2 linked regions of the Tamandua tetradactyla genome follow. The protein of the gene in region 1 purifies or fractionates together with the protein of each later gene. This does not show direct contact. Links are inferred from orthologs where the notes say so. Each region holds a gene or a part of one and is shown on either strand. Other genes may lie near its edges.

What was found.
Region 2: the proteins of FBXL13 (region 1) and CETN2 purify together in Homo sapiens (affinity purification with mass spectrometry; 3 studies listed by BioGRID and IntAct, counting the BioPlex papers as one, with this or other methods). This does not show direct contact. The link is inferred for Tamandua tetradactyla from reciprocal best matches to the Homo sapiens genes FBXL13 and CETN2.

Annotation. Positions count from the first base shown.
Region 1 is NC_135327.1:141,332,272-141,348,438, forward strand, and holds the start of FBXL13 (F-box and leucine-rich repeat protein 13), read right to left. Parts: upstream 7,733-16,167; 5' UTR 7,642-7,732; coding exon 7,567-7,641; intron 1-7,566. Other genes in the region: ARMC10 (armadillo repeat-containing protein 10), read left to right, coding at 7,926-8,355, 12,932-13,080. UniProt on the Homo sapiens protein: Substrate-recognition component of the SCF (SKP1-CUL1-F-box protein)-type E3 ubiquitin ligase complex.
Region 2 is NC_135353.1:4,612,477-4,628,362, forward strand, and holds CETN2 (centrin-2), read right to left. Parts: upstream 7,855-15,886; 5' UTR 7,726-7,854; coding exon 7,723-7,725; intron 7,714-7,722; exon of another isoform or gene 7,587-7,713; intron 6,465-7,586; coding exon 6,306-6,464; intron 5,965-6,305; coding exon 5,836-5,964; intron 4,886-5,835; coding exon 4,748-4,885; intron 4,351-4,747; coding exon 4,261-4,350; 3' UTR 3,776-4,260; downstream 1-3,775. Other genes in the region: NSDHL (sterol-4-alpha-carboxylate 3-dehydrogenase, decarboxylating), read left to right, coding at 14,757-14,828. UniProt on the Homo sapiens protein: Plays a fundamental role in microtubule organizing center structure and function. Required for centriole duplication and correct spindle formation. Has a role in regulating cytokinesis and genome stability via cooperation with CALM1 and CCP110.

The sequences.
Region 1 (16,167 bases):
ATCTATCTATCTATCTATCTATCTACCTATATCTCTTCTGTATATTTGAGAACAGGTTGCACATATAATCCTTGAACACATAATACTTCCATGTACATTTCCCATGAACCAAGGATATAACACTTATGTAATCATCTAAGTGCAGTTATCAAGTTCAAGAAATTTAGCATTGATATAAAGCTTACATTCTATATTTCATTTTTTCTTATGTCTCAATAATGTTCAATCGAGGCTTTCTCCTCCATTCTTAGAGAGTATTATCATTATCTCTTTAGTATATCTTTTTGTTTATTTGTGTGTGTATGGAAACATCTTCAACATATGTCTTCCCATCCCAACCTCTCTCTAGCACATCATTCTGTGAGATTAGTTGAATTCACAATTTTGCAGTACCCTCACTACCATCTATTACTAGAATTTTCCTTTCAACACAAACAGAAACCCTACACTCACAATTTGCTAACTCCCCACTTCCTCTGACCCCATGCCTAGAAACCTGAACTCTACTTTCTGTCTCCTTGAGTTTGCATATGCTCTGATTTTTTTTTTTTTGTAGTTACCATACGGCTGAATTTAACATCCTAAATCTATGACAATCTTGCTTGCTTTAATATCAACTTAACTTCAATAGCATACATAAACAATGTTCCTATAATCTGCCCCCTATCTTTATGTAGTTCTTGACACAAGTTACATGTTTATACATCATGAGTACAAATTCACTAATTTACTATTGCATTTTACACATATGCCTTTTAGATTCAGCAAAGTAAGAAGGGGAATTATAAGGCAAAAACTGCAATAGTACTGACATTTATATTTATCCATGTCATTACCCTCACTAGGCATCTTGATTTCTTCATGCAGTTTTGACCTATTGTCTATTGTTCTTTCCTTTCAACCTGCAGAACTCTCTTTAGCATCTCTTAAGGGCCAGTCTAGTGGTGATGAACTCCCTCAGCATTTATTTATCTGAGAATGTCTTAACCCACCTTCATTTTTGAAAGATGGTTTTGCCAGATATAGAATTCTTGGTTGGCAGTTTCTTTTGCTTTCAGTATTTTATATCATCCCACTGCTTTGGTTTCCAACGACAGAACAGCTCTCAATCTTATTAAGGTTCCCATATTTTTAACATTGTTCTCAACAAGAGATGGAGTGTAATTCCCTTCTCCTTGAATATGGACTGGATTTAGTGACTCACTTCTAATGAACATAATGCAGAGGAAGTAATGTTCAGTGACTTCTGAGGTGAGGTTATAAAATGTGATAGGTTATAAAATGTGATGTTTACCTGGCTCTATCTCTTGGACACTCATTCTTGGAACCCAGCATTCATGCTGTGAGGAAGTCCATGTTATGTGGAGAGGTTATACATGGAAAAAAAAGCCCCACTAAGGTCCTAGTCAATAGCCAGCAGTTGCCAAACATGTGAATGAGGAAGTCTTTTAGATGACTTTCACCCCAGCCATTGTATGATGCACAATTGATCAAAAACCTCCTGTCAACTCCCATAACTGTGAGAAATAATAATAAAATGATTAACATTGGTTTAAGCCATTAAGTTTTGTAGTAATCCATTATGTAGCAATAGAACCCTAAACAGTGATAAACCAAGGAATCAAAGATGGGTAAAGAGAGAAGTGAGGACATGAGAAGCATAATTGGTAGTACAAAAATGATTAAACTAATGAGTTGGTAGTGGCAAAGAGCTTGAAGAAGTAATAAAATGGGAGTTCTAGAGTAAATGAGCTGAGATGGTAGGAGAGTGAGATAAGAAACAGAGATTTCAGAGATGGTACAGAAATCTGGGATAAAATCATCAAGGGTATGATAATAGGAGCAGGGAATGCAAAGATAATTAGGAAAAAAGTCAAGTATGTAGATGAAACATCCTTCTGGATGTTAAAGTCACCAAAAATGATGATAGGAATAGAAGTGAGAAGGAAGGTGGTGAGCCAGACACTAGAGTTATCAATGAAACACAAAGAGCAAACAAGAAGTAGGTAGTTAATAAAAAGAGAGTGAATGTTCTAGTTTGCAAGCTGCCAGAATGCGATATGCCAGAAAAAGAACAGCTTCTTAAAAGGGGGAATTTAATAAGTGGCAAGTTGATAGTTCTAAGCCCATAAAACTTAAAACAATTAAAGCAAGGCTATAAAAATGTCCAATCTAAGGCATCAGGGAAAGATAAGATACCTTGGTTCAAGAAGGCTGATGAAGTTCAGGGTTTCTCTCTCAACTGGAAAGACACATGGTGAACCAGGAGACGTCCAATAGCTTTCCCCCCAGGCTTCTTGTTTTATGAAGCTCCCCTGGGGGGGGTGGGTAGGGGGTGGTTCTCCTTCTTTGTCTCCAAAGGTTTCTGGCTGGGCGGGCTCTCCTGGTTCTCGTGTCTATCTCGTCATTCTGAAGCATTCTCCAAAATGCTTCCTCTTTTAAAGGTTTCCAGTAAACTAATCAAAACCCACCTGGATTGGGTGGAGTCACATCTCCCTCTAATCCAAGATTAATACCCACAATTGGGTGAGTCACATCTCTGTAGAGATAACCTAATCAAGTTTGCAGCACACTGTGATGAATAGGGATTAAAAGAAACAATGCTCCCACAAGATTGGATCAGGGTTAAAACATGGCTTTTCTAGGGTACATAATCCTTTCAAACCAACACAGTAAATGGTAAGGCTAATCTTAAAAACCTTAAGGGACCTGAGGTTTTAGGAGGAGGAGGAAAGACACATAGTTTGAAGTGGTAATGGAGAGCAAGGAGGACACCTACCCCATCTCTGGATCTGAGGTAAACTGAGAAGTGAGAAGGAAAAAAAAAGTCTCAATAGGATTTTACTTCTGAGTAGGATATGGAAAGTCACTATGGTCCAATGATTCTGTTGAAACAACTAGAAGACACCAGATACATTATGAAAACATTTTTAAAAGATATCCAAAGCTATGGAATTTAAAAGGGAGGAGAGCCTTTTGAAGTGAGTTGATGATGAAAGTTGTTTCTCCCCTGGGGCCAATTGCTGATTCTGGGTATGGGTTGAGGAATGGGTTTGGCCCAGGCTGAAGGACTCTGCAAGAGGGAAGAGAAACTAGAGAAAACATCAAGGCTTTTGGTAGCCACATAAGGCTTGTGTAACAGATTATAACTTGAGGTGTCCCACTGCAGCCAATTTCCCCATCAGACATTTGCCAAATTATGAGACTGCTCATGAAGGAAGCTGGGGAGCTAGAGCAAGGGCTTCTAAGAAGCAAAGTGAAGTATCTCATGATCTCATGGTGCTCATGGGGAGGATACCTGCTTCAAACACACAGCTAGCCTAACCTTTAATACGCTGTCAGATTTTAAAGCTAGGAAGCCAAAGAGCTAAGCACAAAAACCTCTAAAGGCCAAAACTGAATGTTCTGCAATTTCTAAGGGTAAGAAAACAGACACCTGCTAGCTTCTCCATTAGAAGCCCAGAAGAGCTATCCTCAAGAAACAGGGATAAACCAGATGTGGACTAAGACTAAATAAAATTGCAATCCAACTCCAACCAGACAGAACTGAAGTCATCACCTCTCATCATATATAGAGGAAAAAGAGAACCTTATCCGGTGAGAGATTTTATCACCTGGAGCCTCTACTATTTGCTTTTATACAATGCCCAGCAAAATTTTTTTAAAAAAACGAAAACACTAGATATGTAAAGAGGCAGGAAAATGGGATGAATAATCAAGAGAAGAAAACAAATAATAATATGTACTCCCACAGATGATCCAGATATTCAAGTTAGCAGACATGGACTTTAAAATAACAATTTAATTGTTAAAGAAAACAGAGGGAAAGATAAACAAATGGAAGAAAAGATGCAGAGTTTCAATAAGTGGGATGTATATAAAAACAGTCAAGTGGGCATTCTAGAACTGAAAAACATACTGTCTGCAATTAAGAATTCATTTAATGTGCTAAACTGTAGACTGAACACAGCATAAAACATGATTAGTACATTTGAAGATGGTCATTGGAAAATATCCCAATTTAAGCACAGAAGGGAAACAAAGGGATGGGGATGGGAACAGAACAAAGCAAAAGAGTCATGTAAGACAAAGTAAAAAATCTAAAATATTTATGCTTGGAGTCCAAGAGGGAAAGGAGAGTGAAACTTAGATAGAAGCAATATTTGAAAATGGTCAAGAATGTTCTAAAACTGATAAAAGGTATTAATCAACAGATTCAATGAGTCCAATGAACCATGCAGGATGTAAAATAAAATAAAATCACCTTCTATACAAGATATTTGTAGGGGAATGATTTGGTAAGTAGAGAGCCAGGTATTATTTAGGATAAGGAAGTGAGAGAGGTTAACTACACGAGGGGGAAGTGTGTAATGAAAAATTATGTATTCCAAGGCTTGCAGAAGATGGGTTTTAGAAGATCATGAAGCCTGGGAAATTGAGTTGGATTAAGAGATGTATGGTTATATGAGGAACAATTGGATTCATCCTGATAGTCTCTTAGGGAGGTAATTAACCACTTTAAGGTGGGTGGAGACCCAGCAGTCTGCTTTCTTGCACCTTGTCATGGTTAGGCTCATGTATCAACTTGGCCAAGTGGTGGTACCTGTTTGTCTGGTTGGGCAAGTGCTGGCCTGTCTGTTGCGATGAGGACATTTCATAGAATTAAATCATGATCATGTCAGCTACATCCATAGCTGATGCCATTTGTAATCAGCCAAAGGGGAGTATCTTCTGAAATGAGTAATGCTTAATCTGATCACTAGAAGCCTTTTTAAGGAGGATTCGGAAGAGACAGGCTCTTCCCGTCTCAGCTGGTGAACCTTTCCTGTGGAGTTCGTCCAGACCCTCTATCGGAATCGCCAGCTTCACAGCCTGCCCTTGCAGATTTTGGACTCTGCATTCCCAAGGTCACGGGAGACACTTTTATAGATTTTATATTTGCAAGTGTTCTCTGTTGATTCTGTTTCTCTAGAGAACCCTAACTAATACACACCTGTTAGTAACAATGATAGCCAGAGGTGAGTGAAAGGCTTTTTAGGAGAACAACAGCTTCGGCAACAGGAAACACTTATGGCGCCTCTGCTTTCTGATGGCAGAGCAATGTGGTAGTCTGGTAGAGGAAGAGTACTCTCACCCACAGGAGGAACTACAGACTGCCTCTTTGCAGCTTGGGTGTTATGGCAACTGGAGAAGTAGGTGAGGGGAAGCTGTCTCTTCTCTGCAGTACCCCGACCTTCAATTCAAGTCCATTTCTTCTACCTGCTCCACAGCCATACCCTGGACTGGGTCATCACTCAGAATGGCTCTAATCTGAAACTTACGTACACATGGCTCTAATCTGAAACTTAAATACACACATTCTACTTTCTGACTCCAACTTTCTATTTTTCCAGCTCCCTCACTCATTACTCCCTCTATTCCTCTTCACTCACCTCCTAGGAACCTCCAATTCTACTCATACATCAGTATCATTTCCTTCTTGTTCTCATTTCCTACTCAGTCCCCAGAGTCCTCGGCCCATCACTTTCAGCATTCTCAATAGCTTCTACAACATTACCCATTGCCTTCTATTGTATATGTATGTATATAACAACTGTTATTTCTGTACTTACATCTAGTTTAGTGAGTGCTACCTGAGAGAATCACACAACTGGGACTACAGGTACCAACACTCTCTATATATTTTCAAATATAATTGTATAGGGGTAAAACATGATTGAAACTCATTATAAAAAATTAAAACAAAACAGATGCAAGTAGAGTAAAAAGTTAGAGTTCTCCTTCATCTCCTCTCCTAAAATTGCCCCTGAAGACATCTACTGTTTACAGTTTGGCATATTTCTTTGCATATATTATTTCTATGCATGAAAATTGACTTAAATGTAGATAGTCACACATACATACACACGTAAGTACACACAAATATGAATATGGATAGTGTGTTATGTTGACAGTGCCCCCATCCCCCCCAAAAAAATTCATGTCCACCAGGAACCTCAAAATGTGACCTTATTTGGAATGAGGGTCTTTGCAGATGCAATTAAGTTGAAGTCATACTGGATTACAATGGGTCCTAGGTGCAATGACTCTTATAAGAAGAGGAGAGGACCCAGAGAGACATAAACATGTAAGGGCAGAGGCAGAGATTGAAGGAATGCAGCTGCCAGCCAACAAATGGTAAGGATTGCTGTGGGCCACAAGAAGCTAGTAAGAGGCAAAGAAGAATTCTTCCCCAGAGCCTTCAGAGGGGGCATGGACCTGCTGATACATTGTTTTGTGATTTCTAGCCTTCAGAACTGTGAGGGGATAAATATTTGTTATTTTAAGCCACCTAGTTGGTGGCAATTTGTTATGGCAATCCCAGCAAACTAATACAGACAAATATGTAGAATCATAACAGACAATTTATTGGGCAACTTGCCTTTTTATGTATTTTTTTATTTATAATATTTGTGGAGGTTTTTTTTCCAATAGGTATGCATATATTCTGCATTCTACATATTTCCTAATTTGAACATATTTACTGCTTTTCACTATGTGACAATGTTACAATGAATATGGTGGTAGAGGCCTCTTTCTGAGCACATGTGGAAATATTTCGCTAAAGTAGCTCCCTAGAAATAGAAGTGTTTGGTCAAATGGTATATACATTTAACATTTTAATAAATATTTCTAAAGAGCCATCCAAAAAGGATGGAGGCTATACCAAATTGGCCTTTTCAACTGTATATGAGTTACCTTCCTAAGCTGGTGCGGATCAGTTCTCTTTCCTTCCCTAAATCTCTCTCCCTCATTTCTCATTTTTCTCTGCTCAAACCTCCCACTGCACCCCCTCAAACAAACATATAAGTCCTTAGCAAATATCTCACCGAGTATTTGTACATTAAAAAAAGAAAGAAAGAAAAAAGCCACTGGGGAGAACTTTGTGAACTTCCTACCCATAGTCGACAAAACTCACTGAAACACCCCTATATTGTCCTCTGTTATAGTGGGGGAGAGAAATACTCCTTAACTCCTGCCTGAAGTCAATTTCGCTGTGCGGTCCTCCCCTCCACAAAAGGCTAGATAAATTTTATGTAAGCGTCTCCGCTTCCACTCTCTCCTCAGATAAACTCCATCTGTCTTTCTGCCCTCACCGCCCCACTGAAACCGCTCTCTCAAGACTCTTTTAGGTCGAATCCACGGGAACCCTTCAAGTCCTTATCTTAGGCGACAGTTACTCTCTCTCCCTCTTAAAACACTTCCTACACACTCTTCCGATTTTCCTCCTCACTCTCCGGCACTTCTTCCTCAGTAACTCCTGCCTGCTCCTCTTGTCCAAACCTTAAAAGCTGAAGTCTGGGGTTTCTGTCCTGGACCCTGTACTCTTTTTCCCTGGAGGACGTCACCCACTTCTCCCTTCAATCATCATCGCCGCTCTGTCTTCATCTTCAGTCTAGACAGCGACCTGACCAAAGCTCACCTCACCCTCTCCCGTTCCGCTTCTACCCTAGCTCCGGCTACCCCGAATCCTCCCTATCTCCCTCCTATGGTCACTCCGCGGCGGCCGCCAAACAGCTCCAGTACCTCGCAGACCTGAGGAACATAGTTCTCCTTGAAGTAGCTCCTCAGCCAGGGGTTGGCAGCGCGTAGCGAGGACATGCCCAGAGGCTGGACCGAGAAGCTGAGCTCCCCGCCGGCTCTCCACGCTGCGCGCGGTTGGCTCGGAGCTGGAACAAGGGGTTGGCGCTTCGGCACGTTGCCTTGGCAACCGCTGTGCTGGAACTGGGCGGAATCTCCAGCCCTCCCCCCACCCTCGGGGTCCAGAGCGACAGTCTGGGAGGAGGTACCCGCGCGGGGCGAGATGCGCAGGGGAGTAGCCCCAAGGGAGCCCGCCTCAGGGCCGCGGCGGCGATCCCTCGGGCGTGCTCTCTGGCGCGCAGTCAATGCTGTCTTGCACGGAACCCAGGCGCCCATTCACGCTCTCCAGCCCTGCCTGCGAAGAATTCGCAGGACCGCCGTGGGGCGCCAGGGGGAGGTTTTACGATTTGAGCTGGGCCATTTCCGGGAGGCGGAGCTCAGGCTCTCATTTCCTTTCTCTTCGATTCCGTATCTGTCGGGCAACTGAGCCCGTGTGCCGCGGAGGCCCCTGCAGCCCACCCGCACCTCAGTCCCGGCCCCGGCCACCACGAGCTTCCTGCGCGGGTTCGGCCCTGCGCCCAGGTCCCGGCGGCAGCATGGGCCGCGCCCGGGATGTGGGCTGGGTGGCGGCGGGCCTGGTTCTTGGCGCCGGCGCCTGCTACTGCATTTACAGGCTGATGCGGGGCCAGCGGCGAGGCGACCGTGGGCGGCGGTTGCGCCCCTCGCGGTCAGCAGGTGAGGCCGCCGGGCGCCTGGCCGGAGAGCGGGCTCCGGGGTTGCCCCGGGCCGGGCCGGGGTGGGGGGCAGCAGACGCCGGAGGCGCTCGTGGCTTCCCAGTTCTCGGAGTAAAATAAGGAGCCGGAGGAAGGAGGGAGGCTTGAGAGGAGGGCAAGGCTGGAAAATCCAGGGGGAGGTTGGATCGTGCGCTTAATTTGCGTGGGGGCTGGTTTCTGACTCCCTCTCCTGCCCCCACTTATTTGTTCAGAATCCTAGCATAAAACATTTGTTTAACTTCCCTCCCTTAGTGTGTCTGAAGTCTGCGGGAGAATCAATTTCTGGAAAGCGTGTTGATTGTCTGTCACTTCCCAACTGGCTCCGGGTCTTTGTGTTGCCAAAGGGTTTCCCCGGACTGTGGACAGTGTTGCGGGGACTGGAGACGTAGATGAAATTGTGCATACAGCTGCCCTGGAAGTAGGGACCCCGAGAGTGGCAGTTCTGCCTGCGCTGGGCAGGGCCTTTGTGAGAGGAGGAACTTTTAGCCACGGTGGTCCCAGATCTCACTCGTACCTTTTTAGGCCAGAAAGTCAGTTTTTATAACATTGATCAGACTCTTAAGGATCCGTTTAGCTCAAACACATTTTGAATGGTTCATTAAGTGGACAGGCTCTGGTTTGGTCAGGAGATACAATTTTATAAACCTAAATGCCAATTTATTACTTTGAAAGGAAAGATAGATGTTGCAAATTGTAACCGTTGCCTGCTTGAGGCACACTCTCCTGGCAGACAAGTGCAAAGATCAAGTTTCTAAGGTCCAAACTGGTACTTGTATTCAGGAATCTAACGGTTTGCTGAGTGTTCTCAAGATATTTCTCTCAAGTTGTGGAAGTCGTTAAGAAAATAACTAAAAATAAAACCTGCCGTCCCAGAAAATCTCCACAAATGTAGAAAAGAAGAAAACAGATACATTTTTGAGCATTAAACCAGACTACAGTGTGCATCACAGGAAATCGCTAATGAGGTTGCTAAAACAAAGAAATCTCTCCTTTTTTATTTTTATTTTTTGCATGGGCAGAAAGAAATCTCTCCCTTTTATGTAGCCAGACAGATAAAATCCATTACATAGATGTTCTTAAGATAAATAATAACTTGGTCTCAAGTAAGAGAACTTGATAGCTCTATTTACTATAGATGGTTCATCCTAAATTCACCTGGTTCTTTGAGTGGCCCTCTCTGTTAGCTAATTGCTTTAATCCAAAGGAAAAATAAATTTCTTTCTGACAAGCAGGTTCTGTAGTTACAACTTGGAGCTAGGCTAGCATAGAGCTAAACAACCACAGTGACCACTAGTGAGATTGGGGCTCTGTCTTCTTGACTTTTACATTTCTAGAGACATGGACCCAAAGCCTTTAAGAAAGACATTCCTGGTTTATAAAATTGCCTAGAAGTTTATTTAGCTTTTAAAAAGATTTACATAAATTTCAAAGGGGCAGAGAAGATTTGCTGTTACTAATTTTCTCAAGGGAAATGCTCAAGAAAGGGAAAGGAGAAGGTCTCCCTTTAGACACTAGAAAAAAGACAATTATTTTTTAGATTTATATTTACTCTTACAAAGCCTAATTTGTTGACTTTGTCTCTGTTGGAGGTATTTTTGTATAGGTAATTGGGCAGGTGGCTTGGACCTGCATACCTTCTCATGTAAAACCAACATGATGAACACTAATAAAGTCTTCCTTTTAAACCTAATTTTACTAATCCCTCAAATCACCATTATTTGAGGTCAAGCAGTTTTCAAAATAAGTTGCTAACAGTGTCTTTCTCAAAGTTGTAGTCCAATTCCTTCCTCCTGAAGCTACCTTTATTTTTGAAGAAACTTGAAAATGCCTGCTTTGTCAGCATCACCCTTCAGTTTCAGAGGATGAGATTTTCTTTGTCTTAAACCTTAAGAAATATGTAACTTCTATACTGTTAATACTATTTCAGGGCACTGAAAAAGATGGAAACAGTCCCAGTTCATTCAACAATCTGAATCTAAAACCTGACAAGGGTAACATGAAGAAACTATGAATTTGTCTCAATTATGAATGAAGATACAAAATCTAAAAATATTAGCAAATCAAATCCATTAGAGGATTAAAATAACAATGTACCATGGCCGAAAAGATAGGAAAGGAAGGTTCATATTGGGATATATATTAACATACTTTATTGCATTAAAAAAAAACAACATAATGTCATACTAAAAAGGTATATATGCATCATTTCAGTTCAGGAGGTGGTGAACCCCTGAGCCTCAGATTCTTTCATAATCTTATTGATACAAAACTAGATGGAGAAGTAGGGCATACAAATGTTTGACTACCTAAACTATATAATAGCGGTTCAAAAACTCGCTAATAAAATACCTAGATATAGAGTAATAGCCATCCTCTCAAGTTTTTGGTTTTACGCATATTTATTTTCCTTACTGAAAAAATAATGCATTTTTAATTAATTCAGGCAGCATATCAGTTGAGGTTTCTTAAAAATTAAAATAGATGCTTATTTTAACAGTTTAAGAGGCATGGGGTTGGGGGCAAGTAATAGACTAGAAATAGAAAGTTCTGGTTTCTAGAGCCAGTTTTATTAACCAGCTGCCTATCCTATTAATAATGATATCTAAAATATACCAAGCACTCATGGTGTTCTAGGCACAAAAATGCTTTGAAGCAGCATTAGTTTTCATCTAGTAGATGAGGAAGTAGGCTTGGAGAATTTAAGTTTTTCAGTGTAGTAGCTTAACTGGAATTTGAAGTACATAGTCTGGCTCCATAGTTCTGGCTGATTGTTCTCCTCCCAGTGGAAATTCTGTGATTTTGCCACTTTAGCCTATGTATATATGGCTGTTTATAAATAGTTTAACTATTAAACTAAAAAAAGGGGGATTACAAGGAAGTAATAGGATTTAAAAATAAACATTAATACATAATTACTTAAAAGAAGAATTTGAATGAGTTAAATTGATATTTCTACCATGTGTGCACATGCATGTGTCTATAAAATCACACAACTTCAGAGCTATATAGGAGCCTCAGAAACCAGTTATAGTCTTAGAGACCATCCCGTTTATTTTACAGATGAGAAAACAGAGTCAGAGAGGTTAAGTGACTTGCCTACAATTTTGAATTTTCATTTCTCTGGTGTCTGCTACTAACTACCTATGTGACTGTAGGCAAATCCTTAAGTGATATTGGCTCCAGTTTCCCCATGAGTAAAATGAGTAGGTAGGGTGAATTCTCAAATTCTTTCCATTCCAAAAAATTTGTCTTTCTTTCATTTATCTTTTTTTGTATTCTTTGAGTGAAACTCTATTTTATAAGATGTATATAAGATATGTAATAGATTCAGAAGTAAAAACCAAGTTCAGGAGTCCTACAGGCTTTTTAGCTTTTAGATTTTCCTAATAGAATTACTGATTTGGCTACCTCAGGACATCATATCACTTATTGTGTCCCTGTAATCTTAGTTTGCCCCATCCCCTCATATTTTTTTTCTGATTACTCTTTAACCAATACACTTAATTATTTTAATGACAGGTATAATATATATTTTTTGTAAAATAAAAACAAAAAATGAGAAAGTACTCATAAGCACAGGATAGAAAATGAAAAGTCAGTCATAATCTCAGTCTCCAAAAATAACCATCTTTACCAGTTTGGTATGTAATTTTTTTTCCCCCAGGGGTAGGCACCGGGAATCAAACCCAGGTTTCTGGCATGGCAGGCAACAACTCTGCCACTGAGCCACCGTTGCCTGCCCTGGTAGGTACTTTTAAAAGAACAAGCACAGATGAGAATCTTTCAGCACCTCGTGTTGTATGGCTTTGCTTCCCAAGTCCCCAGACCCCATACGTGGCAGTGTATTGTGGAAACATGCATAGTTTGACCTTTACTCTTATAGTTTCATTTCTAAGGAATCTCTTTCTAAGCTTGTAACACAAGAATAATGTTATAAAAATTGCTTTGGTTTTTTCCTGTAGTGATTTCTGTAAAGAGTTTTTGTTTTGTTTCTAAGCAGACCCTACATTCGACTACATTAGCCTTTACGCAGATTGATGACCTGTGTCATCACCAATAGCAGGACTGTCATTTTAGCATCCCTTGTTCGGACAGCCATGCAAATACTCCACACAAGCCACATAATTGGGCTACCTCCCTTAGCTTTTTCTGTTGTCTGAGGTCCTTTTAAAATTATGAACAGAAAAGATCTGTTTAATGCAAATCCTGTTCCTTAATTTCTTCTGTTTCTTCTTTTAAAGTCAGGTGCGCTCATCCAATGGGACACTTGCCCATTGGGTGTATGTTATCTGCATGTCATCATCTTGCTAACAGAGAAATACCAAGTGGCCATTGATTCGTTTCTTAACATTTATAAGTCTTAGTTTCCCATCCTTAAGATGAATAATGGTGTTTTCTTCCTAGGGTCATTTAAGGATTAAATAAGATAGCATGTAAAGTGCTTGAATAGTGCATCAGAGTATGTGTCTGATGTTGTTTTTAAAATCAGAAATCTCATTGCTTTTAGATGATCTTCAAATAACTTTCTTTTTATACAGAAGACTTAACAGATGGTTCATGTGATGATGTCTTAAATGCTGAACAACTTCAGAAACTTCTTTACCTGCTTGAGTCAACTGAGGATCCAGTAATTATTGAAAAAGCTTTGGTCACTCTGGGTAACAATGCAGCCTTTTCAGCTAACCAAGTAAGTTTCCTAGTCTTAGCAAACAGTTCCTTCCATTTTTAGGCGAGATGTAATTTGTGACTGTGGGTAAGTAAGTTAACCTCTCAGAGCCTCAGTTTTCTCATCTGTCCAATGTAGTTGCTGATACCTACAGCAAAATGTTTGTTTCTGAACAGTACAGCCTAATGGTAATATTGTAAATTAATATGATTCTAGAGTTTTATGAAATTGGTCACTGACACCACATTCATAATCAGTGTATCTAATCAACATTTAGCATTACATGGCCATTTAACTCCTTTAAAATTCAGCAGTGCTTCATTAGAACAATGAAAGCATCTATTATTTAGCTACATGCTTTAAATAGTATGTAGAACTTAAGAATATGTTTAGTTTATGCTGAAATGGCATACAGGTTGAAGATACCGTTATGTTTGTACTTGTTTGCACGTGCATGTGTATTTATCAATCAAGGAAACTATAGTATCTAGTATTTTCTGATAGTTTTTAAATATGCTTTAAAGTTCCCCACTAGTGATAACCAAACTTTACTGTATGCATAAGAATCCTAACAGCTAGGAACTTGTTAAAATTACACTTACCTGGGATCCTTTCCAAAAGTTTGTAGTTGAAAAGGTAAGGCCTACGAGCCCTCAGTCTTGGGGTTTGTTCATATGAGACTTATCCCCACAAAGGATAGGCTGAGCCTACTTAAAATTAGGTCTAAGAGTCACCCCCAGAGAACCTCTTTCGTTGCTCAGATGTGGCCTATCTTTCTCTCAACCAACATGGCAGGCAGACTCACTGTCCTCCCCCTCGGTACGTGCGACATGATTCTCAGGGGTGTAAACCTCCCTGGCAACATGGGACAGAAATCCTAGAATGAGCTGGGACTCAGGCCTCAAGGGATTGAGAAAACCTTCTTGACTGAAAGGGGAAAGAGAGAAATGAGACAAAATAAAGTGTCAGTAGTTGAGAGATTTCGAATAGAGTTGAGAGGTTATAAAGTAGGTTATTCTCATGCATTATATAGAGATCCCCTTTTTAGTTTAAGGTGTATTAGAGAGCCTAGAGGGAAGTGCCTGAAACTGTAGATCTGTGCTCCAGTAGCCATATTTCTTGAAGGTGATTGTATAATGATACAGCTTACGCAACGCGACTGGTTGTGAAAACCTTGTGTCTGATGCTCCTTTTATCTACAGTATGGACAGATGAGTTAAAAATATGGGTTAAAAATAAATAAATAATAAGGGGAACTAATGCTAAAACACATTGAGTAGATTGAAATACTAGCGATCAATGAAAAGGAATGGTGAGTGGTATAGGAAAAAAATAGGGGGGACAAAGGTTAAAATATATTGGGTAGATGGAAATACTAGTGGTCAATGGGAGGGAGGGGTAAGGGGTATGGTATGTATGAGGTTTTTCTTTTTCTGGAGTGATACAAATGTTCTAAAAGATGATCATGGTGACAAATATACTACTATGTGATGATATGTGAGCCATTTGTACACCGTGAATGGAATGTTTGTATGTTAAGAATGTTCATGTTTCTATGTTGTTTTGGCTTGTCAATTAAAAAAAAATTAAATTAAAAAAAAAGGCAAGGCCTGGGGATCTGCATTTTTAATAAGCGCTTGGGTAATTCTGATACAGGTAGTCCCCAGACCACACTTTAACAACACTAGTCAATGTAAATGGCTTCTACCAAGCAAACACTGGTGCCAAGACTAAAGAATTTAATTTGAATGCTTCCTTCTTTTTTATCCCCCCTGTACAGAGAAAGAGTTAAAACATTTGGTGTTTGTTTTGGTTTGTTGTAATGCCTTTGGTTAGCATCATCATAAATGCAAAACTATTTTGAATTTATGTTTTATTTCAGTCCATTTTCTCCAGCAAGACAGGTTTTACTGTAAAATCTCTAAAGGTTTATAGAAGGATGCAGAGAATATTTGTATTATTCACACTCTTTCAGTTGCAAGTGACAGAACCCAATTAAATTTACTTTAAGACAAAAAGGGAAACTATTGGACTCAGTTTACTTGGACATCCCAGAATAGCATTTATTTCAAACACAATTGAATCAAATTAAGGGTGGCAGAAAAGTTATCAAAGTGCTTTCTCTCCCTTTCTCTCCACCTTTTGTTTTTGTATGTCCCTGCTTCTTTTTTTTTTTTTTTTTTTAACATTTTCATTGTGAAATATAACATATATACAAAAAAAGCAATAAATTCCAAAGTGCATTGTAACAAATAGTTTTTTAGAACAGATGTCAGAATTTGTTATGGCTTACAGTTCCAAAATTTCAAGTTTTTCCTTCAGGCTGCTCCAAGACACTGAAGACTAGAAGAATTATCAATATAATGATTCACTAGTTATACCCATTTTTTAAATCTTGTCTTCTCTAACTCCTCCGTCTCCTTTGATCCTTCTCCCAATCTTATGCTATGCCCACTTTAACTTTTTCTTGTTGGAAAGGGTGTCAATAATATGGGATAAGGCGATGGAATTAGTTGATGTTCTTGGAGAGGCTATCCCCTCTGGATTTCAGGGCTTATCTGGCTTAGGAACCCATCTGAAGGTTGTAGGTTTCTGGAAAGTAAATCTTAGTATGTGAAATTTGTGTAGGTTAAATAAATTTCAGATAAAGCCCTAGGTGTTCTTTGGGGTTGACAGGAATGGTTTTGGTTAGGGTTTTGCAAACCGTGGTAACTAGCAATATCTAGCTGAAGCTAGCGTTAAGAGTAACCTCCAGATTAGCCTCTTGACTCCATTTGAACTCTCTTAGCTACTGATAACCTCATTTTGTTACATTTCTTTTTCCCCTTTTGGTCAGGAAGGCATTGTTGATCTTACAGTGCCAGTGCCAGGGCCAGGCCCATCCCCAAGAGTCACATTGCTCATTGCCAGGGAGACTTTCACCCCTGGATGTCATGCCCCACATAAGAGGACAGGTAATGATTTTACTTGCAGAGTTGGGCTTAGAGAGGCCACATCTGAACAACAAAAGAGGTTTTCCAGAAGGAACTCCAAGGCATAACTACAGGTAGATTTAGCTTCTCTGCTACAGAAATAGGCTTCACAAGAACAAGCCTCAAGATCAAGGGC
Region 2 (15,886 bases), on another chromosome or scaffold:
CCATTTCTCCTTTATAAGTTTCTTTTGCAGTACATGAATATTTTCTAATATAGCATTTAAATTTCCTAAATGGTTTTTCACTTCATTTAAAAAAAATTTCTTTCCTTAGTGATTGCTCTTGAACTTACTATATATATCTTAACTTATCAGAATCAGCTTCAGACTTACACTAAATTAATTTCTGTGAGATATTGATATGCTACTCCTGCATAGCTCTATTTCATTTCTCCCCTTTTATGATACTATTTTATACATATTACATCTATAAATGTATAAATGATAGTTACGATTATTACTTCATATATTTTATTATAATTTCAATATAATTTTATGTCTTTTAAGGAAGTCAAGAGAAGAAAGGAGAGGAAGTATGTATTTACAGCATTTGGAATATTAGCCCTCTTATTTGTCATTTCTGGTTCTGGCCATTTGTTCTTGTAGATTTGAGTGACCAACTACAGCATTTCCTTAGCCCAATTAAGCTTTGTTTTCACTCACCTCCTTCGTGATATTATTGGCAAATATATTCCATTTCTAGATGTTAAAGCTGAACAATATAATATATAATATTGCTTTATACAATCGCTTTTTAAAGCAATCAAGAGAAGGATGAAAACATGCATTTATGCTGTGTTTCCTTTTTTTTGTTTGTATGCTTTATGGTGGGGTGACATTACATTCTTTTTCCATGTGAGTATCCCGTTATTGCAGCACCATTTGTTGAATTTTTGTTTGTTTGTTTGTTCTTTGCTTGTTTTGGGGGAAGTGCATGGGGCCAGGAATCGAACCCTTGGCTCCCACATGGCAGGCAAGAATCAGCACAGTGGCTGAGCAGGCAGCCTCAGGCACCTGCCCTTCCACAGACACACGGAATAAATGATGAGAAACAGTGTCCGAGCTCTCAGTAACAGCCGCAGGTTTGCAGCCACCGAGTGAACCGAATGGAGAACCAGGCAGGGGAGAAGCGGTGGAGATGCCCAGTGGGGCCCTCACCTGCCCAGGCCCCACCCCTTCCCCAGCGGGCAGCAGGACTGGGGATGGCAGCCCGGGTCCCAGTGGGGGCCGGGACCCGGTTCCGGGGAGCAGAGCACCCCTTGTTCGAGCTGTACCGTATCTGTCCCTTCTAAGAGTCTGGGGCCACTGAGGGACAGGGTGCTAGTCTACTGGCCTGAATCAGAACTCACTCGGGGCAGAAAAGTGCTGAGCAGGGCTCAGAACCCGTGTAAGGCAGCTGACAGCTGCGGCTTAGTTCTCCTGGCAACCCCCCCGGGGGCCAGAAGGCAGTGGGATGCCGTATTCACAGGGGAGAGAGAAAGGGAATGTAAATAAAGGATGCTCTAGCCAGTAAAAAAGAATGAGAAATTACTAAGACACTACCAGATGAACAAAAACTGAGAACGTGTAACCATCAGAACTTCCTTTCAAAAATACTGAAGGAAGTCCTTCAGACTTCAATGGAAAGAGACTAGAATGTAATTCAAAGTCATATGAAGAAGTAAACAATACTGGTAAACGTAGCTACATGGGGAAATGTAAAAGGCAGTAGAGGTGGGGTGCATGGGTGGCACAGTGGTAGAATGCTCTCCTTCCACGCAGGAGACCCAGATTCAATTCCCAGACCATGCAGCAACAACAAAAAAAAAGACAGTGTACGTGTATTTTTTTGCTTGTAACTCCTGCTTTTTCCTATTTAAAACACAACTGTATAATACTATAATTATAAAACTAAGTTGATATGTGCACAACATATAAAGAAATGATTTGTGACTATAACAGTCTAAGAGGGGAAACAGAACAATATAGGAGCAAAGTTTATATAAATTATTGAAATTAAAATGGTATTGTTCAGAACTATATCTTCTATAAGTTAAAGTGTTAGGGCGGGCCACGGTGACTCAGCAGGCAGAGTTCTCGCCTGCCATGCCGGAGGCCCCAGGTTCAGTTCTCGGTGCCTGCCCATGCAAAAAAATATATATATATATGTTAATGGTAATCTCCAGGGCAACCACTAAGAAAATAACTCAAAAAGATATCATAAGGGGGTTCCGAGAAGATGGACAAATAGGGTAGATCGAGTTCAGCCCTGCTCCAAGGAAAAGTTAGAGAAGGGACAGAAGGGCAACTGAGATGGCAATTCAAGAGTGCAACTGTTCTCTGAGGCTTCTCCTTCTCCATCCTCCTGGCTCCCCCCACATCCGTGCTCCCTCTCATCCCCTCCACTGGACAGCTGCAAACCCATCCCAACATGGGTGCTGGGCCCGGATATGAGTGAACACTGTAGGCTTTTCACCCGCAGGTTACTCGCTACTCTCCCACTGCCCCAGAGGTCCCTGAGAAACTTTATTTCATTCATGGGATCATGAAGCAGGAGGAGAAAAGGAGGTGTCCACAGTCACAGTTAACAGCAAAATGGGAGGTAATGCCAAGACTTTTCCCTGGTTTCTGAGAGCTCTTTCATCAGACCATATGCCTTTTATTAGAAAACAGCAATGCAGCAAAGGTCAAATCCTCCCAGGAATTGCAGCCAACCCAGACTTTTGGGACAGTTCACCAAAAACAAGTTTCTTGTTAACAGAGCTTCTACAATAATCATAACAAAGAAGTGAGAACTATTTCTGATACACCTCCTTCTCGAGCACCCCAAAGCCAAGCCCTGGCTGTAAGTTTTCATCTGACCCTCATCAATTCTGAGTTAAGCACAGCTCGTTCCCCCAGACAAGGAATTGAGGTGTCCAGAGTAGCTTGCCCGGCCAACCAAGAAGTGTTGGGGCCTGTTTGAGGACCCAGGTCTCAGGCTAGACTGTGCTTTCCTGCCAGTTTCTCTGCTTGGGATTTATCAGGGCTGGTGTGGGGTCGGGGGACAGACCTCCGGGACGCCAGTCTCCAGGGACGAAGCCTCAGGATCATGCTACAATATGTTCAATGTGCTTCCCAGGTAGGCCTGTCCGTTTAAATGCAGGGCATCCTAAATCTGAGTGTCAGATAACAAACAACAGAAAGTTCAAATGGGACATATTTACACTGAAAAAGCTATTTACTGTTTCTCTGAGCATCCTCTTTTTATTAGCTGAATCCGGCAATCTTACCCCCAGGGGTTAGGATGAATCCAGAAGTTTAAAAACCCAGTTCTCTGCCTGTCCCCTTGTGGAAGACAGAGGAAATGCTGTCAGTGTTGTTTTATCTTCCATTGCCCGTCCCTTCTTGCTCCTTACCCTCACCCTGGGACAGGGAGCTCAATATCACCTCCCAGGATTTATCTTGCAGGTAATCCTGTAAAGGGTCAGGAGGGGGGGTGGACAAGGTCAAAGTCCTTCAGTCTAAACTGAGTCCAGGATTCCAAGAGACACTGCAAGCAAATAAACTCTCCAGAAGTTGACTGAATGCAACTGTCTGTCATAATAGCCTGGGCTCCCCATATTTTGTCTAAGCATAAATTACCAATGAGACTCTTTTTCAGCCTTATACTTTGCCAAAGTATTTTTAGAACATCATTTAGGGCTTAGGTATATTCTACTAGCTTTACAAAGAGATGGGTTCCCAAGGCAAGAAACATTTCATGTCAGGAAAATAGCAAAGAATTATTTCATTCTATGTCTATGAGCTGGGAAGGAATTTTATATTTTATATTTGCCAGGCCACCTTCCACACAATGGTTGATAGGATTAAATTTGTAGTCAAGGCTAAAGAACTCATCGTTAGAGAACAGCAACTCAGAATCAGAAAGGCTTTATTTCTGAGACAAAAGCAATAGTATGAACAAACACCCAGATGCCAGTGAGAGATTTCAATGGGCTTTATAAAAGGGAAAAACAACCCTCAGGTGTCAACTAAAAACAGAACCATGGAAGAGGTATCTGCTGCGTGTGGCAACACAGGTACAACAAGTGCTTCTCTAAGGAGATGATCTGTATTTGGACATAGGTGGAAATGCACAATAAGGGTGAAGCAATGCAAGGCAAAATGGCAGGTGGGTAGAAGTTTTATGACCCTTTGCTCTAATTTAATGTAGTCTAGTTCTGCTTTTGAGATTGAAAACAATCAGCAGGTCATTTTACAAAGAACTTGAACATCAAAGAACACTTTTGAAAGTCTAAACAGAACAGGGGTTGTTACCAAAGTTACATAGGGATGTCAGTGGCAGGAGGTGGGTGGGGGGTGGGTAGGGGTAGGTGGGAAGAGGTTGGTTCTCTAAAGAGATTTTGGACAATGACAGAACTTAAATCTAGTTACATGTGCTTGCTATAGAAAAGACGAAATGTTTTAATAAAGACTGGTCTTCTTCATGATTCGCAGGAACTCTTGCTCATTGACTTCTCCGTCTCCATCTCGATCAGCTTCGTCGATCATTTCCTACAGGACAGTAAGGATTCAGGTCAGATTAAATCTTAAACTAAAAGTCAAGAAAGCGATAGACTTTTAATAAAGCTATGTGAATAGACAGCAGAGGCTGCCCATAGGAGATGGGCTGCTGTTTATAAAAGCTGGGTTCCTAGAAAGTTCTTCAAAAGCCAAGTCATACTTTGTCATTCATATCACCTGGAAGAGAGGAGCTGGAGGAACCCCTTGCCTAGGGGGATCAATGAAACCAAAATTGTAAGTCAAAGTGCACATGTGTGCATTTTCCCAGGAGGAGGGTTCATAGGTTTGTCAGATTATCAAGGGAGAAATTAAGTGGTCAGCAGAGGGCCAAGAGAACACTGGCTTTCCTGGAAAGAGAAAGCGTAACATTGCCTGACACATTACAGACCTGTAGCTCCTCATCAGTGAGGTTCTCGCCTAGCTCCTTGGCTACGCGTTTGAGATTCTTAAAAGATATCTTCCCAGTTTCATCATCGTCGAAGAGCTTGAATGCTTTCAGAATTTCTTCTTTGGTATCTTTCTCAGACTTAACAAGTAAAACATAAAAACGTATGAGCAGGGAAATATTGCAGTTACTCCTCTCCTGTAGCCTGCCACAGTCCAACTACCCTTTCTCTTTCAATCCCATAACCCCAATCTCGGCTGGCACAAGTGATAAGAAGCCCATTTGGGCCTCAGTGCCAAGGCAGTCTAGCCAGGCTATCCAATTCAAGGTGATATTTGCTCCCTTTCCAACTCCCACAAGTATTTCCTAACTGGCTAGGAATTCAGAAGGAAGAGGCACCCACTTGGTGCTTAAGCCAAGAATGCTTGAGAAATATAGACTCAAAGACTTGCTTGGGGACCCTTTAAGAGTATGACCCCCGAGGGACTAGGGATTGGATGACTGCCACCTTGGAAGTGCTCAAGAACCAAATCCCTGTTGCAGTGAAAAAGCACAGCTGCTGACGCAATCTCAGCTCTAGGCAGGCTTCTGAGTGGGCTTCCTTGGGCTGAGGATGCACAGAATGAAAAAATTGGAGAGAAAAAAATTTTGAACTTTAAAGTATATGGAACTCAGTTAACAAGGCAAAGAGGGTTTGATTCCGGGAAGGACATAATTTTTAACTAAGAAATCTGATAATGGGAGGCATTTTGTATTGTAAATATGTGAGGCATTTTAATATTGCTGGTGCTTCTAGGTTTTACTGCTTTTTGTTACTGCATTGACATAGCAGCTGCAGAAAGATAACAGCAACAAAAAGTGACAGCAGTATTACCTGTACCAGAGCGTAAAATGCCTTCTCCAGTGGCTCTGAAACCTCAAAGAAAGTCAAGTAGAACATAATCCTAATTCTCAGTCTAAAATACTATCTTCTCTCAGGTAAATGCTTCAAATTTTATTTGCTTTACTTCAATGAGGTAATTTCCATATCTAGATTCAAATTTATCCAGCATGATGGGTGGAAAATAGTCTGATTATCTTAGTTAACTTACCATTTTCTGAGTCATCACAGTCAAAAAGTCACTGAAATTCATTTTTCCTGTCCCTTCTTTATCAATTTCGCATATCATCTTCTTGATCTCTTCTTTCTTGGGTTCGAAGCCCAGTGCCCTCATGGCCACCTACAATGAAAACAGGATGCCCTCTCAATATGCAAATTTAAACTTCGTGGGACCAAAACCAGCAGCTTAGAGAGCATTAAATTAGCATCTGATACAATCATCTGAAAATGACTGAGAGACACTATGACATCGATCTCATTGATATTTGCAATCAGTTTTATTTAGTAATCCTTGAGGGAGGTAAAGACAGGAAGACAGACCACAGGGCATCCTTCCCTATTACTCTCAGCAAGAGGGAGAAGAGGAGCAAAGGGGTAGAGAGTTGACGGAAAGGATGACACAGAAAAAGTAAAGGGGCAGGGGTAAGTAAAGGCAGTATTGCAGGAATGGATAGAGCTTGCCTTCAGTTCTTTAACATCTATGGTCCCTGTTCCATCAGCATCAAAGAGATCAAAAGCCTCCCGGATTTCCTGCTTCTGCTCTTCAGTGAGCTCAGGCTTAGGACTCATCCTTTTTCGCGGGGCAGTCGATGCCATGTTGGCCTTCTTAAAGCTGGAGGCCTTTTGACAGAACACAAACACATGAGCACAAGGTGACGTTACACAGTCCATACTTTACATAAGACAGCTACAGACAACCATATGTACTTTTAAAATATTTTATACTAACCAACTCCAAAGCTTTGCTTAGCAGGAAAGATAGCAGGATGTATTGGAAAGAACAATGGATTTTAAGTCAAAGTCATTACCTTTGTGGACAGAAGGAAATTGAGGAACTTTTCTGAACCTCAATAGCCTCATCACTAAAGTGGAGCTAAAACCTCCCTCCGAACCACTGTGAAAAATGCATTCACTAAGGTGGGTAAGGACATGGTGGGGTCCCGCTCTCCTACCCTGTATGTAGCCCATAGAAGTGCTCCACACGTGTTAACCGACTCTGAAGAGAACTGTCAGAGGCATCTTAGAAGAGTTAGCCTTCCTTATCCCTTTGCCTCACCTCCCAGTCCCATGTACTCTATCCTCCCCAACCCTTTTTCTTTGCTATTGTTTCTAGTGGCAGAAGGATCCTTTGTTCTTTGGGATTTCCTTATTGAAAATCATTCCAAAAGAGAGTGTGCAAAAGAGGTACCTCTATCACTGTAGAGACAATCAACTCTCACAGAATTGGGGGATCGGATCCTAGTTCTAGAAATGTCCTTACAATGCCCACTCGAGGTACCGGCTTTCCTCTATAAATGCTCCAACTTTATGGTTTGCTAACGTTACTAAGTTGTTCAGATGTATTTTCACAGTATCGAGTCGAAAAAGTAAACCCAGCAGGCCCAATTGTGCCTTATCCATGAAGCTCAACGAGTTTCACAAATGTCTTTATATCTACATTTTAAAATACGTGTTAACAAACAAGACCATAAAGCTGCCCCCAGCGCTGTGCGGAAACTTTGGTAGAGCAAGGCTGTCAATAGGCCAGGGTCTGACAGGGGCGGCCTGAGAGAGGCTGGGGTCGGGGCCTGCGAGGAACTCGAGTCTTTACCTAGGAACAGTAACCGAGGGGGCCGAGGGGGCCGAGGGGAGCCTACGTGAGCCTGGGGGAACCCGAGGGAGGGTGAGGACCGGCTGTGGGTGAAAGAGAGGAAGCGGAGCAAAGCCACAGGCCCAGCGGGGAGGCCGGCGTCTCTACCCTACCCTTCCGGTACTCAGATCGGAGGGAACCAAGGGTGCGCCAAAGCGAAAGCCGCGCAGGAGAGGCGATGTCGCCAACCGGGGCCTGGGAACAGCTCAGCCACGGTACGCGGGGTGGGACCCGGCTGCTGGTACCTACCATCGCCAACGGACTCCACTAGCTGTTGTTAGGGCAACCGACGTACACACTGAAAAGGCGCCTTTCCCACCGCCCCGCGCGCGCGGCCCCGCTCCCCATTGGCGGGCCGCTCGCCGCCGCCGCTCCCCAGTGGCGTAGCGCTGAGGGGAGGGTGGGGCTAAACCGGCAAAACCCAGGTCGAGGACAGGGGGCGGTGCGCCTGCCGCCGACACCGGTTTTCATTGGTCAAGATCACACCGCGAGCGCCGATTGGCTGAGCCTGCCCCCGGGCCAATCCTATTGGTGGAGGAGCCCTCATCCGATTCTCGGCTCACGCGGGAGGAGAGGAAGGGGCGGCTGGCCCGGGGTGGGCTTCTTTCCGCGCGCGGCGGGCGAGCTGAGGCCGGTCGGGCGCTGCCGCAGGTGGGTAAGGGGCCCGGCCTGGCCGTCGGGGGCCGCCTCGGGTCGGCGGAGGGCAGGGCGGTAGGGCTGGCGCCTGGTAGGGGGCGGGGACGCGAGGTTGGGCGGGACGGCCCAGGTCGGGGCTTGCGGGCGCCGGGCTCAGAGATACCCGGGGAAACTGAGGCCCAGGCGGGAGAAGGGACATGCCAAGCGGCGCCTCCGAGGTTCGCACGGACGGTTGGGACTTAGAAGATCTTTCTTTGAGTGTGTCCCTTCGAGAGTACCCTACCCTGACCCAGACAAATAGTCGGTCCCCAAACCAGGTCCCCAGAAAGGATCAGTAGTTCCCATGGCTAAAAGCGACCCAGGGAGGTGAGCTGGGGCCTTGCGAACGGACTTTGAAGGGAGTGAAAGAGATGTGAGCCCACGATGGGGAGGATCATCAAAATGTCCCTTTTGGGACACCCCAACACTCAAGGCAGACAGAGAGGAGCATTCCAGGCCGAGGCACCATCCTGTTCAGTGTCACCAAGAAGTTGGAAGATCGGGGCACGCTTAGAGAACGCATGGGAGCCCCTGCAAGGGTTTGGCCTAAAATGGGGCGGCGAAAGTGGAGATGGCTGGAGGTCCAGGGACCTGCCCTCCTCAGGCAGCCCAGCGTCAGAGAACTCAGTGGCTCGCAGCCCTTCCCTGCTTCCCCTCTAGATTTTAGGTAGTGATTTGAGGAGACAGTGGACAGAGCCCAAGTTACTCCGTAAATGGAAGTGTTCACCAGCCTTCTACCCTTTCCCCTCTTGCCCTGTGAGCAGCCAGCCCAGGCTCTAAACTCCAGGGTCATCGTGACTCTGTGAGTCTCCCGCCTCCCCCATATCTAGCCTCGGTTTTCTATCAGTTCTAACCCCTGCAATACTGTTCCTTTGCTCTTTCCCACCTTTGCTGCTTCTCTCCTGATCCAGGCCGTCCTCAGCCTTTCGACAAGTGTACAGGTCTCGGTATGGCCCCCTCCATCATCTCCCTAATTGTTCTCCTCCTCTCCCCTGGCTGACTACTGGACATGACTCTGGCTTCCTTATTGGGCTGCAAATGTGCCAGCCACCCTCCTGCCTTAGAACTGTTGCTCCAGTTGTCCTGGCTGCCGGCTTAGCCTCCTTTGCTTCTAGGTCTTTGCTCAGTTCTCATCTTCTCAGTGAGACCACCTTGAGGAGCTCAAGCCCCCACACCTTGCCCTACTTTTCTCTCCCAGAGCATCTCTCATCTTCTGACCTGCTGTCGATTTTTACTTACTCTACTCGGTCGCCCCTCTGCTAGAAAGTAAGCTCTACAAGGGCAGGGATCTTTGTTTTGTTCACTGCTAGCACTCTAGTGCCTGGAATGATGAGGGGCCATGTATTGGATACTCAAATCTTGTTTGAATTACTAGTGGGTGGCCCCCCTGCTTCCCACCTCACACCCCTCTAACTAATGTACTCCGTGCTTCCAGGTTAGCCTCTGCAGTGACCAGCTCTGGTCACATCCCTCCCCTGCTCTTAAGCTTTCAGGGGCTCTCAGGAACAAATACATTTGCGTTGGCCATGTGCCAGCTGTGTGACCGACCATCTGTGTACCAGGCGGGTCCCTTGACTTCTCAGCCTCAGCTTCTCATCTGTTGCATGAGACCAACAATGTCAGCCTCATTCAGCAGCTGAATGTTTTCTGGGTCTTTGTGGGATAATGCACTCATGTACGAGGGCCTGACATTTAGCAGATCTTCAGGTAAGGTCACTTCTTCTATCTGATTTGCTATTATTGTTTCCTCTACCTGGAATGCCCTGAGCCTTAAATTTGGCTAGAGCCTGACCTCCACCCTGTGGCCAGGGTGGACTTTTCAGAGCTCATATCTGATCAAAGCACTCACTCCTACTTATGTCCCTCAGGGGCTCCCCTTCTCCCCACAGGGTTTCCCCTTAGCCCCTGCATGGTCCCAGCCTCATCACGCACCATGATGCAGTTTGTCACGGTTACCAGAACACATTGGTTCTATGCCATTGCCTCATCCCTCCCAGCCCTGCCGGTGGCCTGGCTTTCAGGACACCCAGCCCCCTCTGTTTGACTCATTCCCCTGCTAAGTCTGTCTCCTGCCATAGGCAGGGAGCCCCTGAGGGGAGGCTCTGTGTCTTGCAGGTTCTGCTTGGCACTGGTCACAGTCCACATACCAACAACCGCATTTTTCAGTTTGCAGCCCTTTTACCCCCCGGGCTTGTTTGAGCCTCATAGCCGCTTTGAGATAGGCAAGAAGTTTTACAGATGAAGCCTCGTAGACCAGCCACACATTTCAGCAGATGTTCACTTGCCTGCGTGCTCTATTCCAGGCTCTCTGCTGGCCCTGAGCACACGGGAGGTGGCGCAGATGCTGCACCTGCTGGGCCTCAAGGGGCTCACTGCCTAGTGGGATGAGTAGGTTTGAAAAGTAGAGGACAGTGAGCTAGGTGTTCTGATGGGAGCATCGCCAGGCGCTGAGGAAACAACTAACCTTTCTTGGGGACGGGGAGGAGATTTCACAGAGGTGGCAGTTGAGCTGGGCCCGGGAGGATGAGAGGGGTGGTATTCCAGGCGGAGGTAACTAGCAGGGTGCACTAAAGCTTGCAGCATGCTGATTGGTTTCCCGGTGGCTGCCACCTATTCCAAGCCAGGCAGAAGATGGAATAGATTCTTCCCTGCTGATACCTTGATTTGGGACCTCTGGCCTCCAGAATCATGAGACGATAAATTTCTGTTGTTTAAAGCAACAATTCTATGGTACTTTGTTAAAGCCGCTCTAGCAAACTAAGATAGCCAGGTCCCCTCCTCACTCCCTAGAGGTGACAAAAAAGAAAGATGATATCCCCCGCAGATCTGTGCTGCTCAAAACAGTGCTCCAGCAGTTCTTAGCAAACCAGCCTGTTATAAAAACAAAACCCAAATAAAGCCTACGTGGTCTCAAAACAGAGACAGATTCTTTTCAAATTTGTAAGTTCTGTGAGTCAAGTAAGAGCTTTGCTGAGAACTGTCTAGGGATTGGAGTATCCAGACCCAGCTTAAGGAGGGAGGCAAGTCCCACTGGAGACCTTCCCCACTCAGATCCCACATGATCTATAACCAGGTTAGCACGAACATCAAAACTAGCTCTGATTGGGGAAAGTAAGTCCCCAAAGAGCACTGGATTAGGGGAGTGGTTAAGTTCAACTCATCAGAGGCCTCAAGCCTCGTGGCTCATTGCGTTCATCCACTGATGACACTTGGGTCCTTCCACTTTTTGGCTGTTGTGACCATCAGAGGCCGCATCGTTATGTGGATGTCTGCTTTCGTTTCTCTTGGTGCTTCTCTTGAGCCCCATGCAGTGCCATTGGCAGTGTGTGCTGCCAGCTGGGGCCCTTGCCCTCAGCCCCCGCCGAGGGTCCTCTCTACTTGGGAGGAGCCCCTCGTTCAGGTGGGCTCTGCATTGAACCTCAGAATGTAATTCTTGCTGCTTTCCTAAACTGAGACTCTGCTTCTCACTTCCTCTTTCTCACCTAATTCTTCTGAAACATGTGGGCTAGTGCAAGGTGTGTTAACCTTGGAGTCAGGCTGACAGAAGAGGCCCCCTATGCTGACAGCATTCTCACCCTAAGTGTGCCCAGAGATTTGAAGTGAATGAGCCATTCTCCCCCCGCCCCCCTCCATTGGGGTCATCCTTTACTTATGCCAAACAAGCTCTCTATTGCTCCATTTCTTTTCCTGCTTTTCAGGCAAAGCCTAAGGCTGCATGGGTGAAGAAATCTAATCTCCAGCCTTAATTTTTATTAAGGAAGAAAGAACAGAGGAAAATATTTTAGAGACAGTACTGCTCTTCCTTGATTGAGGTAAGAGGGGAAATACTCCTCTCTACCACACTCTGCTTATGCATCTTAATGTGTCTTACTCCTTTTTCATATCTCTGCCATCACTTAATAACATGCACATACTCTGAACACCAAGCCTTTGTTGTCTCTTCACTAGCTAGTCTCTGGCTAGACAGCCAGAAATGAGCCTCTGGGAGGACTTGGCTGCCCACCTACTTCACTTCCCTGTAAATGTGCCCCACGGTCTGTCCAATGTGTAAGTGCTGCAGGGTGTGCTCATGGGCGGGTGTTCTGTAATTCTGTGATACTGGGGTGATGATAGGGTGATAGGTGTTTCAGATGGTGGAAAGAAGCACGAAGACACTTGGCGGATGAAAGGCAGAAAAGAAGTCTTTCTTACAGTTCCAGATGGGCCACATGGGGTTCCCCCACAGGAGAGGGTAACACAAGCTGGAACTGCAGGTGGGGCTAGCTCAGGTTCACAGGCTCCCTGTGGACTGGGTAGTTTGAACAATTCTGCAGACTCCAGAAAGAAGCGACCATCCCTAGGTGCTTGGCTTTGGGGGCCTGTGATAGATGGTTGTGGCATGGCCCAGGAGCACTCAGGCCCCATAAGGGAAGTGGTCAGGGCATGGACTTAGCGAAGGGAGAGCAGTGGTTTTTAGCCATTGCCTCAAAAACTGGGTCAGGGCAGCTGGACAGTCCCTACCTGCCATAGCTTATATGTCATGGTAATAGAGAGGAGGGCAGCATGGGAAAGCAGAGGAAATGGGGGTAGGAGGGTAATTAGCTGCCTTGAATAGGGTGTTACCTGATATAAGGCACCGTGCCAAGGGCTTTGCAGGCATCTTCTCTTTCAACTGTATGTAGTCCTCATGGTGACCCTCTGAGCCATTCGTTTTACAGATGGGAAAGCACAGGCTCTCCTCGGATGCTTCCAGCTGGGAATAGGAGGGCTGGGATTTTATCCCAGGCAGCCAGACTCACCAGGTGAACTGACTACATTGAGAAGAGAGGTGTGAGTTTCTTTCTGTCTTTTGTAGACGATGAGCATGAGTAGAGGCTTCCAGACCCAGCACTCCCCAGAGGGTGGGCTTGTTGCGCGTGATTAGATGTGTCATGGGATCCTGTGGTCCAGTGGGCACAGGACTGTAGCTGCCCAGGCACCACTTGTCACGGTTGTGCGGTGACTCCCTGCCAGCAGAGTCTCTTGGTGGATCAGAGGCCAAATATGGGAACTCTCCTGGCCCCCAAGATGTCATCTACCCTCTCATTTCCCTGTGGATCTGGGGAAATGGAGTAAGAAGCTGCCAGTGGGTAATTATGACTATAGTACTACCAGGAAAAAAAGCTGACCTGTGTACCCCTCACTCCATGAAGCTCCTACATCTCAGATGGGAGTGAGTGTGTGTGTGTGTGTGTGTGTGCGTGCGTGCGTGTGCATGTGTGCGCACACGCATATGGTGAAGAACAGTGGGAAAGGGTATCTCTGTGGGTGTGTGTGCACAATGGATTCACCCAACCAACATGCACGTGCCCACTCTGTGCCAGGCGCTGGGCTTCCCACCAGAGGTATTGCTGTGAGCAAGACAGACCCCAAACTCATGGCAGATTCAGTCTGTAGGATTTTGGTGCAAGGGCCCAGATCCCTGCCCCAGAGCTGCTTTGGTCCTGATGTACTTTAACCTCAAATGAAGCCCATCACCTGGGCTGGATCTGCTTCGCCCAAAGAGAGGAATAGGGTGGGCAGACACCTACAGGGGACTGTTTATTCATTATAAACATTCTAAAAAGGCCCATAACAGGTGAAGTTTTGAGATAGATTTTCCTGAGGGTTTCCCTTGTGATTTCAGAAATATGTTCCCCCAAATGGCTCCATTAGACTTTGAGGGTCCTGACATCCATTTCAAGGCACATTGGCTTTTGACACTTCATGTAACTATAAATCGGTTCCTACAGGATTCATGATCTTGCCCATTTGTTCCAAGAAGGGTTGGGGTAGGCAAACCTTCAGGAACCTGTGACTAAGCAAATTGGCCACTACTAAGAAAGTATAAATGCAGGACAAGACACAACACAGCCAAAAGTCAAACTCCTGCTCCCCACTTGCAGCTCAGTACAGTGGATGCCTGAAGGGAGAAGCAAATCCTAAGGGCCTTTGTAAAGGCGTGGCCAGGCCTCATCCCCAGATGTGAGCCCGTTGGTCCCCACCATACTTGGCCTAGCCAGGGTGGCTTTAGCTTAAACAGCCAGGACAACACCATCTCATCCCATGCCCCAGCATCATGGGCACACGGGTTATTGATAGGGAAACTGAATGATAGCAAAGATAAGTGATTTGAGCCGATTTGCACAGTTCATGATAGAGCCAAGACTGGAACTCAGGCCCTTGGGCTCCCCAGGTCACTGCTTTTTCCCACTGCTCTGCCACAGTCCTACCAATCAGTACAAACAGAGAGTAATGGAAATTCTGAGCGTTCAATGGGAAAAGAGCCATGATACAAAAGTTGTTGTTTTGGTTTTAATTGACAAGTGAGGTTGTTGAGCCAGCTTCTGATTCTGTTCCTAGGCCACATGTGTGTTTGGTGTGTAACAGGTCCAGCTGTGCTCCTTCCCGAGGCAAGCATCCTGTCACAGTGTTCACCAAACGCTGTCGCAGTAACTCAGCCATTTGTGAAAACTCAGAGGGGGGACAGCATACACACCAAATATTAACAGCTAAATGATGTTTTGATTGATTTATACAATATAAATGTCTGTTTCTGAGTATCAGGAGGAGCACAGCTGAGCACACACAGGACCATATTTTGAGCAGAAATGGACCAAGAAATTGGTGAACAAATAGGCGACCAGGTGGAACAGACGCATTTGTCAGAAGACATTCCAAAAGTAAGTAATAACACAGAGGATGTTAACCAAAATCAGGGAAGGGGAAGGGCAAACACAAACCCACGTGCTAGGGATATTTAACTTGTCGTTAAAAATTGTATTTAATTTTAAAATGTCACCTTCTGTGTGAGACTACAGCAAAAAATGTTTATTAGTTAAAAAATTTATATTTTGACTAGTGCATTTCCTAATATAACTTATGTAGATAGTTTGATTGAACGCCGTAAGTACTTGGAATCTCAGGTAGGACATGAGATTTTGCTGGTTTGTCCAGAGTGATGCCCCGATGAATCCCAAAGTGATTCGATCAGTAAGTGGAAAAGTATCTGCAAAGCCCCCTTCGGGGAGTGGTGAGAACAGGGAGAAATTCAGCTTCCCCAAGTTGAATTCTTGATATTCTCACAAACAGTGTGGACAACCAAAGCTATAGGCAGAGCCCCCAGTCTTGGGGTGTGTTTATATGAAATTTAACCCCGCAAAGAATAGGTCAAGTCTACTTAAAATTTAGGCCTAAGAGTCACCCCCAAGAGAGCCTCTTTTGTTGCTCAGATGTGGCCCCTCTCTCCAGCCAACACAACGAGCAGTCTCACCACCCTACCCCTCTCTATGTGGGACATGACTCCCAGGGGTGTGGACCTTCCTGGCAACGTGGGACATCTTGGAATGAACGGAGACTCAGCATCAAGGGATTGAGAAAACCTTCTCGACCAAAAGGGAGAAGAGGGAAATGAGACAAAGTGTCAATGGCTGAGAGATTCCGAACAGAGCCGAGAGGTTATACTGGAGGTTATTCTTATGCATCAAGTAGATATCATCTTGTTATTCAAGATGTAATGACAATTACATCTTGTCATTGTAATTAATCTGTACTGTAATTGCAATGATTAATTACAGTAATCATTTTAAGAAATGATAAATATGCAACTAAGTGATGACATTGTGAATTACTGATTATGTATGTTGTTTTATTTTGTTTCTTTATTTTTTTAATTAATAAACTTTTTTTAATTGTATTTAGTATATATATTTTCAATCAATGTAGTATTTTTTGTATAAGC